3 linked regions of the Stegostoma tigrinum genome follow. The protein of the gene in region 2 purifies or fractionates together with the protein of the main gene of each other region. This does not show direct contact. Links are inferred from orthologs where the notes say so. Each region holds a gene or a part of one and is shown on either strand. Other genes may lie near its edges.

Region 1 (3,749 bases), on a different chromosome or scaffold from region 2:
CTAACTGAACCTGAATGCTCACCTTAAGAGGATCCTGAGCTAGGACTCCCAAATCTGTTGGTGCTTCAGTTTTCCAAAGCCTTTCCCCATTTAGAAAACAGTCTGTGCCTCTATTCTTCCGACCAAAGTACATAACCTTGTACTTTCCCACACTGTACCCCATCTGCCACTTCTTGGCCCACTCCCCCAGTCTGTCAATGTCCTTCTGCAGCCCCCCACCCTTCCCCAACACCACCTGTCCCTGTGCCTGTCGTATGTAACACAAATGGGAACGATCTCAGCAATTAGTCCCTCTGCCCCACAGCAGGTCCCAGAACACTACAACTCAATTCCTCAGATAAAACATTCTCTTTGTCTACCACCCCAGACCTCTCCCCCTACCCCCTACCCCCACTCCCCACCCCCCCCACCCTCGGGTTCACCTCTTGAATCTGTATGTCCCTCTGGTGTTGCCAGTTGATGGGCTCGGTAGTCTAATACTAGACGGGAGGATGTGATTGGAGGTAATACTCACCCGCTCCCTGAGCTTCCTCGTTTGCTTTACTCTCCAAGTAGGAGACCTGAACTGGACAAGCAAAGACAGGGAACAGGTATTAGTGCGTAACTGGGGTAGACCGACCGCTCAGGAACTCAATCCTTCAGCCCACAGCCTCCCTACCTCGGACTACAGTTTGACCACAGCCCTTCGGGATGTTGGTCGCCAGGGCCAGCTCCACCAGATTCACCTCACGATCCTCGACGACAAACAGCTCTCCCTCCTTCACCGAGCGAAAAGGGAGCACATCCGGGGCCCCGTAACCACACACAGGCTGGAAACACAAGCAGTAAGTTACAGGCTGCACCAGCAATAATAGACTCCACTTACAGCCAGAAGGCACGGCTTCAGGCCCCTGCACAGCATCTCAGCCGCCGAGTCCACCACATTGCTCCACGTGATTGCTGCAGTTTGACCTGATCTCACTGAAGGGGAGACGAAGAATTGATTCGATTCATACACCAGGGACTCAAAAGCTCATAACACAGGCTGACGTGACCAGGGTCAGTGTCGAGGGAGTGCCGCGCTGTCGGAGGGTCAGTGTCGAGGGAGTGCCGCGCTGTCGGAGGGTCAGTGTCGAGGGAGTGCCGCGCTGTCGGAGGGTCAGTGTCGAGGGAGTGCCGCGCTGTCGGAGGGTCAGTGCTGAGGGAGGGGGCACTGTCGGAGGGTCAGTGCTGAGGGAGCGGGCACTGTCGGAGGGTCAGTGCTGAGGGAGGGGGCACTGTAAGCCTTGCTACACGTGAATCCGTCCTCGCCCACCTGCCGTCCCTCTCACCTACCTCCACATTCGCCCACCGCAGTGCCCTGTTAAAGTCCTCCACGGTGAGGCGCCGGCGCTTGGCGTGCCTCATGAACTGGGTGCCGTTCTGAAAGAGCCAACAGCAGGGTTCTGATGAGAGGAGGCTGGTTCACACCCCCCCCATCCCCCCCCCAACAAGCCCTGCCCCCAGGACCGAGTGGTCTCTGCAGACTGGTCACTGCAGACCTCTCCCCGCTCAGCGAGCCCCCCCACCCCGCCCTCTTACCTGGGCGGTCTCTCGCAGTCGGTAAGACACATCCTCCGCCAGCAGAGCGCTGACCTCGTCGCCCAGCTCCAGCCCCACGCTCTCCCCCATCAGTCTGACCGACTCCCGGCTCAGCTCCACGTATCTCCTCTCGTCACGCTCAGACATCGCAGCCTCCCACCGGCTGACACTGTCCCTCTCCGCCTCCACTAACCAGCAGCACACCCTGTCTCTCACTTGGTAACCAGGCCCTTACTAACCAGCATCTCACAAGTTGTAGATCCCTCACTAACTACTAACATAACCCGTCTGTGGCAAGGTGCCTCCTCGTAAAAACCAGCAACACTCCAACTAGTTACCAGTCCTCTTACTGACTCATCAGAATCACCCCAGCACTAACCGGATAATCTCTCATTAACTTCCAGAGATGCTGGCTTCCTCCTTGGCTGGATATCCCCTTTGTAACCAATGATAACACCTTGTTAACCAGCAATAACCAGTGGCAGCACCTCACTAACTTCATTAACTAGTGATAACACCTCATTAACCAGCACTAACTAGTGGCAGCACCTCACTAACTTCATTAACTAGTGATAACACCTCATTAACCAGCACTAACCAGTGGCAGCACGTCACTAACTTCATTAACTAATGATAACACCTCATTAACCAGTGGCAGCACGTCACTAACTAGACATCCCTTCATTAACCAAGCACCAGCTCTGCATCTCCAGTGAAGAGGGAACTACTTCCGGGGTCATCCCACGGACCAATCAGCGTCCACTTGGCGAGTGGGCGGGGTACCAACGTCACATCCACGTGATCCAGAATTTTAAATGGGCCGCAACCCCCGACACTGGAGGTGGGCCCCACCTATGGCTTTAAAAGGCAGGCGGTACGGAAGGATCTGGAAGTTCTTCTGCAGGAGGACCCTTTTCCCACCAGTCAATAAAATCCTGGCTGTCCTGTGCTTCAGATTCCCATCTCGCCCCCATAGCTTTCCACTCCCCCTTTTCCGCAGCGATGGATTGATTCCAACACCATAGACACAGTAACACGATGAAGAACAGTCCCAACCCAACACATCCACCAGCTTCCTGCCCCTCTGGTGCTGCCTGGCCTGCTGTGTTCGTCCAGCTCCACACTGTGTTCCCTCTGGTGCTGCCTGGCCTGCTGTGTTCGTCCAGCTCCACACTGTGTTCCCTCTGATGCTGCCTGGCCTGCTGTGTTCCTCCAGCTCCACACTGTGTTCCCTCTGATGCTGCCTGGCCTGCTGTGTTCCTCCAGCTCCACACTGTGTTCCCTCCATTGCCTGCCTGGCCTGCTGTGTTCCTCCAGCCCACACTGTGTTCCCTCTGATGCTGCCTGGCCTGCTGTGTTCCTCCAGCTCCACACGGTGTTCCCTCCATTGCCTGCCTGGCCTGCTGTGTTCCTCCAGCTCCACACTGTGTTCCCTCTGATGCTGCCTGGCCTGCTGTGTTCCTCCAGCTCCACACTGTGTTCCCTCTGATGCTGCCTGGCCTGCTATGTTCCTCCAGCTCCACACTGTGTTCCCTCTGATGCTGCCTGGCCTGCTGTGTTCCTCCAGCTCCACACTGTGTTCCCTCTGATGCTGCCTGGCCTGCTGTGTTCCTCCAGCTCCACACTGTGTTCCCTCTGATGCTGCCTGGCCTGCTGTGTTCCTCCAGCTCCACACTGTGTTCCCTCTGATGCTGTCTGGCCTGCTGTGTTCCTCCACCTCCACACTGTGTTCCCTCTGATGCTGCCTGGCCTGCTGTGTTCCTCCAGCTCCACACTGTGTTCCCTCTGATGCTGCCTGGCCTGCTGTGTTCCTCCAGCTCCACACTGTGTTGACATTGACTCCAGCATCTGCAGGTCTTGCCATCTCTGACTGTCAACACATCTAGTTTCTCCGTCCCTCTCCCTTCCCAAAATCCAGCAAACTTTGGGAAATGACCACCAACACTTCTACTGTGTCATTAGTCACCTCTTTGGGCTGGCCCGGTGGCTCAGTGGTTAGCACTGCAGCCTCACAGCGCCAGGGGCCCGGGTTCGATTCCCGCCTCGGGTAACTGTCTGGTGGAGTTTGCACATTCTCCCCGTGTCTGCGTGGGTTTGCTCTCGCAGTCCAGGGATGTGCAGGCCAGGTGGATTGGCCATGCTAAATTGCCCATAGTGTTCAGGGGTGTGTGGGATGCTGCAAGGGGCGG
Region 2 (3,749 bases):
GGTTATCCCTCAAACTCCTCCTCTCCAATGAACTAAGTCCCAGAATATCCAGCCTCTCCTAAGAACTCAAGCCTTCCAGTCCCAACAACATCCTGGTAAATCTTTTCTGAATCCCCTCCAATTTAATAATATGTATGGTGACCAGAACGGCATATAGCACTTCAGAAGAGACCTCACCAATATCCTGTACAACCTCAACAGGACATCCCAAGCCCTGTACTCAAATGGTCTGAACAATGAAGACAGGCATACTAAACACCTTCATTACCTCCCTGTCTACCTGTGACAAATTTCAAATCCCCATGTCTCTGTTCTACAAAACACTCCCCATGGCCCTATCATTATTAGTGCAACTCCTGCCCTTGCTTGTTTTACCAAAATGTAATAGCTCACATTTATACAAATCAAACTATCTGCCAATCCTCACCCCATTAACCCAAGTGATAAAGATCTCTTTGGAATCTTAGACAACCTTCTTCGTTGTCCACTATACCACCAATTTTGAATATCTGCAAGCTTACTGGCAAAGTCTAAATGTTTATCCAAATCATTTATATCAATAGCAAAAGTGGACCCGGCACCAATCCCTCTAGAACACTAAGTAACAGGCCTCCAGTCTGAGAAACAACCTTGTATGACTACCCTGTCTCCTTCCACCAAGCTAATTTCGTATCCAATTGGCAAGCTCACCCTGAATCCCATGTGACCTAACCTCACTAATTAATCTACCATGTGGAACCTGTCAAAGGCTTTACTGAAGTCTATGTAAACAACATCTATTATTCTTTTGATTACATCCTCAAATGAGGTCAAAAATCAAGTCTGAAAGATATGATTTTCCTTGGACTAAACCGTGCCATCTATCCATAATCAGTCCATGCCTCTCCAAATGCATGTAAATCTTAAAATTACAGCATGTAGACAAACAAGAAAATAACCTTGCTTGTATACCTTTGTGGTGTGGCAAACTCACTCTTGGAAAGAGATCATCCTGCATATAGATTATCTCCCCTTCCTATTCCTTGCCAGAAATGAGCAGTATCTTTATATTGAAGAAATCCAATAGTGCAGGCACCCCTTACTTTAATCACATAATGCAGATTCTGTTTTTCGATAACATCTCCTGTTAACATCTCACACACTGGTACAACCTGGCCAGATCGTACTGCAGACTACACTGTTAAGGTGAGGCAAACTGATCATAAGGTGATTCCTACAATACTAGGATTCTAGAGCACCACAGTAGATAATAACATTCTTTACAACACTACTACTGCCAGTTTGCCCTATTAAAAAGGGACAGTATTTGCACAACAGTTTATTACATCTATCAAGGGCACAAAATGCCAGTATTAATGGACTTCCTCAACATGGGAACACATCTTTCGCTTACTGACATGAACATGCCAAAAACAGGAACATTTGCCATTTTAAAAGGACACAGTGTATTCCTGAGAAGCTTAATGCCACTTTCCCTCATCATATCAGAACAAAGCAAATCAACCCACAGAGCTCCTGCACAAAATTTGTCTCAAAAGCAAATGCTGAAAAAACCAAACTCAGCAGGCCTACCAGCATTTGTGGAGACAGAAGTAAAGTTAACATTTCAAGTCCAATAAAACTCAAATTTGTATTATTACACTGGGTATCTGTCAGTTGTCTGACCACAACGGTGCTGAGAACCATTAATTAAGTCCCTGATCTTGCTGGACATATTTAGCATGACCTGTCTCAAAAAAAAACAAAATAAGGGAGGCCACAAGCCCCACCTAGACACCCTTTTATAAAGGGCCATACTTAAAAGACACTAGTTTTACGACTACTGCAGGGAACAATCACCCTGCACACAAAAAGAAAACTTTCTGGCATCTGTCCCAAACTGACCTTTATCAGTTTCTAGCCTTGTCATGAACCAATTTCAAATAGTGCTAAGGATTAACCATCTAAATTTAAGTATCATTAGGTATCACTGTCGCATTCATCATCTTTCTCTTTTTTTCCTAGCTTCTCCTCATAACTGAGTCCTCTGAAATGATTCAACCTTTTTTTTTACTGTCAGAGAGACTCCACCTGCATCTTTGCCCATCACTGTTCATGCGACGACTCCACCTCTGTCCCTCCCCTTACAACTGTGCCCCTCACGGTCCCAGTGAGAGCCTCCCTTGTACAGTAGCTCTTATCCATTACTGTAGCAGTGTCAGTGACTCTTCACCACCTCAAACGAGAGAGGTCCGTCTTGCGAGGCTGCCTTTGCTGGAGAGTCCCCTATCCGTGGCGAGCCCGGCCCTTACCTTCCTTTTCCTGCTCTCCGCAGTCCCACTCCACACAAAGCACTGGTAAATTACTCGCAGGCTCTGCTTCCAATTGTCCGCCTTAAAACTGTTCACATGGGAGCACCCGGCCGGACTCATGACAGGAGCCGCACCACAAGCACTGCCGCCAACGCGCAATCTCGGGCCGCAAGCTGTCCCCGCAACGCCTCCTCCTCCGCCGCTTTCCACCCCCAAAGCGCCGCCCGCCGCCGTCGCGGCTCCGATTATTTATATGAAGAAAAGCCCATAGTGTCGGCAAAGGATGATGGTCGTCAGGCGGCAGCGCTCCGGGAGGAGGAAAGCAAACTCGCCGAAACTGCAGGAAGTCCCACCTACCCCTGCAGAGTCATTGGTCAAGATGCCGGGCCCTTTACACAACCTGTCCTCCGATTGGTTAGCGTTACTATCCATCACTGCGCGGGACCGGAGGTTTTTCTCGCCTTGCGGAGGGAGGGTAGCAGAGACAACGCACTGGCGGATGTCCCGCCCACATGCTGTGCTCCGATTGGATAACATCCGGCCCTTGTTTCCTGCTCCATTTCTAATTGGTTGTTGTGCTGTCTATCGGCTGACGGTACCGGTATAGAGGACGGGCGTTTGAGCGATTTGAATGGCGTGAATGCGCTGCTTCCGGTTCCTGCTGCTAAGGCTTCCTGTTACTGGCTGGCTGAGGTTTTAGGGCCTCCTCATTTGTTAGGTTTTTCTCCTTACGTTCTATTGAAAGTACATATGGTTGCCTAAATGTCGCTGTTATGTGAATTGTTGACTTCATTTGTGTAATGGAATCTCCCGCCGGCGCCACCGATTTTTGTCTTGTTCGCCCATGGGTGCCTTCCTGACTCCACCCTGTAGGCCTTGGTTTAGCTGAGCACCTTGCCACCTCCGTCCTATCTCATCTCTTAAAGACTTTCAAAATAACTTGGCCAGTTGGTTGTTCTGCTGGTGGAGAGATTAATCTATGTGTCCCGGCACCTTTTTTAGCTGTTTTTTAATTTCTCTTATTTGCACTTTTCCGGGCGTCCGTATTTTCATAATTTTAAGCGTTTTCTTTAAAGTCCGAGCGAATTGCAAAGGGCAACTGTGTAATGTTTTTCTGAATCCAACGTGGTATCTAGCATTTTGTGTAGTTAATCTAGTTGGGCACCGCAAATTCCCACATTCAGCTTTGTGATAGAGATAAATTAATTGCTTTGAATAGTGGAGTGGAATCTTTTATTCTTCAGAGGGCAAATGAGAGAAGTCTTAAAAATGAGTTCCAATTGTACATCTACTCTTATCAGTATACTGGGAGTGTATGCCTCCTTGGTACTGGTTAAGGTTGCATTTTGTGTTTTTTTTTGGGTATGGCCGGGTGGAATCAGCAATCATTCTGCCCCCTTTGTTTAGGGATTGTGTTCAAATCCCTAGAAAATGTCTTCAACTCAGTATCCTCTGACC
Region 3 (3,749 bases), on a different chromosome or scaffold from region 2:
TCACCCTGTTGAAAGAGGCCCAGATTCTCAATGAACTCTTGCTAGAGTCATACAGGATCATTCAAAAATCTACATTTTAGACAAATCAGAAGGACTTCTGTGAAGTGATTTGTACAAATTAGAACCTCTGATGCAACATCGCCATCCATGTTTCTAAAAAAGAGAATTCCCACAAATCAGTTGTGCAGAGACTCAAAATGCAACAACTGCCTAAGTTTTGCACATCTTTCAGACCTTTTTTGGACTGTTCATTTGACAATCATTTGCTTTTGTTTTCAAGAGTTAGTGGGGCCTGCCACTAACTTACATGGGGCAGGTTTTACAAAATGCAACCACCCTCAATCAGAATCACAAGCAGGCCATAAGATTTGCTGAAGTTCCTTAGTGAATCCAAGAAGTACAGTTATCCAATATTATATTCCCTCGTCCTACTCCAATAGTCTTTTAGCTATCTGCCAGAATCAGGGCTTGCCAAGAGGCCTGAACAGTCTGTAGATTAGCATGTTCAGTAGATGAACGTTGGGACAGTTGGTTGATTTAGGGCCAGGAAAACAAGAGGACGTGACCCCAAAAAAGGTAGCAGCCAGATGCAACCACCATTTTTTTTCAGATAGATCTTTTGACGGCATTCTTGTTCAATGGCACAACTGTCTTTGACAAGGCTCAATTAACATGCTTGCTTACTTTAGCTCATCTTGAAAAAAGTTTGTTACAATTTGTCAAATTCCACGGTTTGAAAACCATGTATTCCTGTCCACAGCTGACTGCCTTTGCACACTACACTGAAAGTCATCTGGACTTTCTTTGATTAAAAAGAAACGCTGCATTTCTTGGGACATAGTGGCATTGAAAACAAAAAGTATTTTCCTCCAGATGAAAATAAACGAGCAGTGTCAAGAAGCGTCCCGAGCAATCCAACCACTCTCCGTTAAGAAATTCAATATCCTCTTCTTTAAGACTTTGTCGAGGTAGCTGGGCAGGCGGCTCTTGGAAGGGATGCCCTGCCTCTTCTGCAGATAGTCCTTGATGATGATGGTCTTGACGGTCAGGTACCGTGTGGGGCTGAGGTTGAGGGAGCTGCACAGCAGTTTCTCCCGCTCGGACAGCAGGTCGAAGCCGGCCAGGTTCTCCATGGAGTTGAACTCCGCTGTGGCGCCGGCGGCAGCAGCCTCTTTGCCGGCCTCGTCCTTGCCGCGCTTGGCGGCAGCGCTGTTGCGCAGCTCCTTGCGCTTCTCCCGCTTGTGGCGGGCCGCCTCGTACTCGGCCGACTCCTCGGTCTTGGCGATGCCGTTGCGCCGGTAGCGCTGCAGCTCGCGGATCTTGGCCCGCAGCGCTCGCTCCTTGTGCAGGTTGTCGAAGCAGTCGTCGAACTCCTTGGCGGACAGGAACTGGCAGATGGGCCGCAGCTTGGCCCGCAGCTCCTTCTCCTCCTTGGTCACCTTGCGCTTGAGCGGCCGATCCTTTCGCTCCTTGCCCAGGAAGGCGGGCACCAGGCTGTAGTCGCGGGCCATGTTCTTTCGGCGCTGTCGCTCCCGCAGCTTGCGCACGTACATGTCAACGTGGGCCCGCTTCAGTTCGATATCCACGTCCTCGTCGTCGTAGTTGACGGCCAGGCCGCTGATGAGGGTCTCGGCGTCCTGTAGGTACTCGATCTCGTAGTCGTCCCTCAGCGGCATGTAACCGAGCTGCTGCTGCTCGACCACCGTGATATCGAGCGGCGGCAGAGGAGCCGTTAAACTGGGCGACAAGGGGCCGCCGCCCGGGCATGTGTGGTCAGTCACGCGGTTCGGGATGGAATCCGGGATGCACGCTCTACCTAGGTTGCCATGGATATACATGCTGACGTAGTGTTCCATCACTTCCGCCGGGGCACGCGCGCCAACATGCGCGGCCATGTCCTCCCAGTTGCCGAAGCCGTACTGCTCGATGGCATCGAGCAGCAGCTGCTCCTCCCGGCTCGTCCAGCCCCCCTCCGCCTCGGCTCCCCATAGCGTGAACCGCCCGCCGTCCACCAGCTGGTAGCCGTGCCAGCGCCGATGCTGCCCGATCTCGGCGCCAGCCGAGAAGCACTCGGGGCAGAGCTCGATGTCCTGGCACTCGGTGCAGCGGAGCCGCAGGCTCGTCACATCAGCCAGGCAGTAGACGCAGTACTTCTTACCCAGCTCCGCCATTGTGCGACGAGCCTGCGCGCTCGGTGTGGGTGCGCGCTCTCGCCCGCCGGCCGGCTTCCACGACTCTCGCTAACTGTTGGAGCATGCGCCAGAGAGCGCCGCCTGAAGGCGTTGGGAAAGGGAGCAACGGGGAAGGATATCCAATTAATGGACTTTGCCACTGTGCACAGGATAAGAAAGGACTCTTGTTTCATCAAAACTCACAGGTGTTGAGATAGTCATTGAATGACCCTGTATGGACTTACACAAGTTAAACTTTTGCTTATAAAATTCCTACATATGAAAGCCAGTTGTGCGCAAGTTTGTAGAGCACATTAGGCCCCCAACTTTTTGGAAGAATTAACCAATTGTTGTCACTTGTATACTCCCCCCTCCAATTAGCTTGTTACCTTTGCTGTTTCAGGTAACCTTTTGAAAATTAGCAGGGAACTTAAGTTGAAGGCAGTGACCATAACATGATAGAAGTCATCCTGCAGTTTGAGAAGGGAAGTTTGCTTTTGAATAATTATAACTACAGAAACATGAGAGAGACAGCCAGACTTGATTGGAAAGGGAGGCTAGCAGGGAACATAGTGGAGCAACAGTGGCAGGGGTTTCTGGGATGAATTGGGTGGCAAGCAGAAATTCATCCCAAGGAAGAAGAAACATACTAATGGGAGGATGAGGCAACGGTGGATGACAAGGGAAATTTGGGACAGTCTAAGAGAAAAAGCATACAATATGGTGAAGATTAGTGGGAAGCCTTTTAAAAACTAGCAGAGGACAACTAAAAAGGCCATAAGTGGGGAGGAAATGAAACATGAGAGTAAGCTAGCTAGTAATATAAAAGAAGATTGCAATGAAAGGTTAAAAAGAGAGGCAGGAGTGGATGTTGAACTAGTGGAAAATAACATTGGGGAAGTGGTAATGGGAAACAAAAATGGTGGAGGAACTGAATATGTATATTGCATCAGTCTTCACAGTGGAAGACATCAGCTGCATTCCAGAACTTTAAGATGGTCAAAAGGCAGAGTTGAATGCAATGGTTATCACTAAGGGGAATGTGCTCGGATAGCTGAAAGGTCTGAAGGTAGAGAAATAACTCAGACCAGATGGACTACACCTTGGAGTTCTGAAAGAGGTAGCTGAGGAGCTTGCGCAGGCAGTGATGTTGAACTTTCAGGAATCTCTGTAGTTAGGGAAGGTCACAGAGGATTGGACAACGGCTAATGTAACACACCTATTTAAGAAGAGTTAAAGCAGAAGAGTGGAAAATATAGGCCAGTTAGCCTGACATTGTATGTTAGTAAGATTTTGAGTCCCATTATTAGGAATGAGAATGTGGAATACTTGAATATGCATGATAGGCTGAGTCAGCATTGCTTTCAAGGGGAGGTCATCCCTGACAAATGTGATCTATTTGAATTTCCAAAAGACTTTCGACAAGGTGCTGAGGAAGAAGCTGCTAAATAAGATAAGAGCTTGTGGTGTTAGGGGCTAAGCACCAGCATAGAGGATTGGCTAACTGGCAGGAGACAGAGTGCAGATAGTCTTTTTCAGGATGGCAACTGGTGACTAGTAGAGTACCGCAGAGATCAA

Evidence for each region.
Region 1: the proteins of usp22 (region 2) and taf6l purify together in Homo sapiens (affinity purification with mass spectrometry; 3 studies listed by BioGRID and IntAct, with this or other methods). This does not show direct contact. The link is inferred for Stegostoma tigrinum from reciprocal best matches to the Homo sapiens genes USP22 and TAF6L.
Region 3: the proteins of usp22 (region 2) and tada2b purify together in Homo sapiens (affinity purification with mass spectrometry; 4 studies listed by BioGRID and IntAct, with this or other methods). This does not show direct contact. The link is inferred for Stegostoma tigrinum from reciprocal best matches to the Homo sapiens genes USP22 and TADA2B.

Annotation. Positions count from the first base shown.
Region 1 is NC_081395.1:3,303,504-3,307,252, reverse strand, and holds the start of taf6l (TAF6-like RNA polymerase II p300/CBP-associated factor-associated factor 65 kDa subunit 6L), read right to left. Parts: upstream 2,327-3,749; 5' UTR 1,708-2,326; coding exon 1,561-1,707; intron 1,402-1,560; coding exon 1,315-1,401; intron 810-1,314; coding exon 659-809; intron 566-658; coding exon 515-565; intron 1-514. UniProt on the Homo sapiens protein: Functions as a component of the PCAF complex. The PCAF complex is capable of efficiently acetylating histones in a nucleosomal context. The PCAF complex could be considered as the human version of the yeast SAGA complex.
Region 2 is NC_081376.1:20,209,480-20,213,228, reverse strand, and holds the start of usp22 (ubiquitin carboxyl-terminal hydrolase 22), read right to left. Parts: upstream 2,597-3,749; 5' UTR 2,412-2,596; coding exon 2,292-2,411; intron 1-2,291. UniProt on the Homo sapiens protein: Deubiquitinase that plays a role in several cellular processes including transcriptional regulation, cell cycle progression or innate immunity.
Region 3 is NC_081354.1:56,828,456-56,832,204, forward strand, and holds the start of tada2b (transcriptional adapter 2-beta), read right to left. Parts: upstream 2,227-3,749; 5' UTR 2,172-2,226; coding exon 894-2,171; 3' UTR 1-893. UniProt on the Homo sapiens protein: Coactivates PAX5-dependent transcription together with either SMARCA4 or GCN5L2.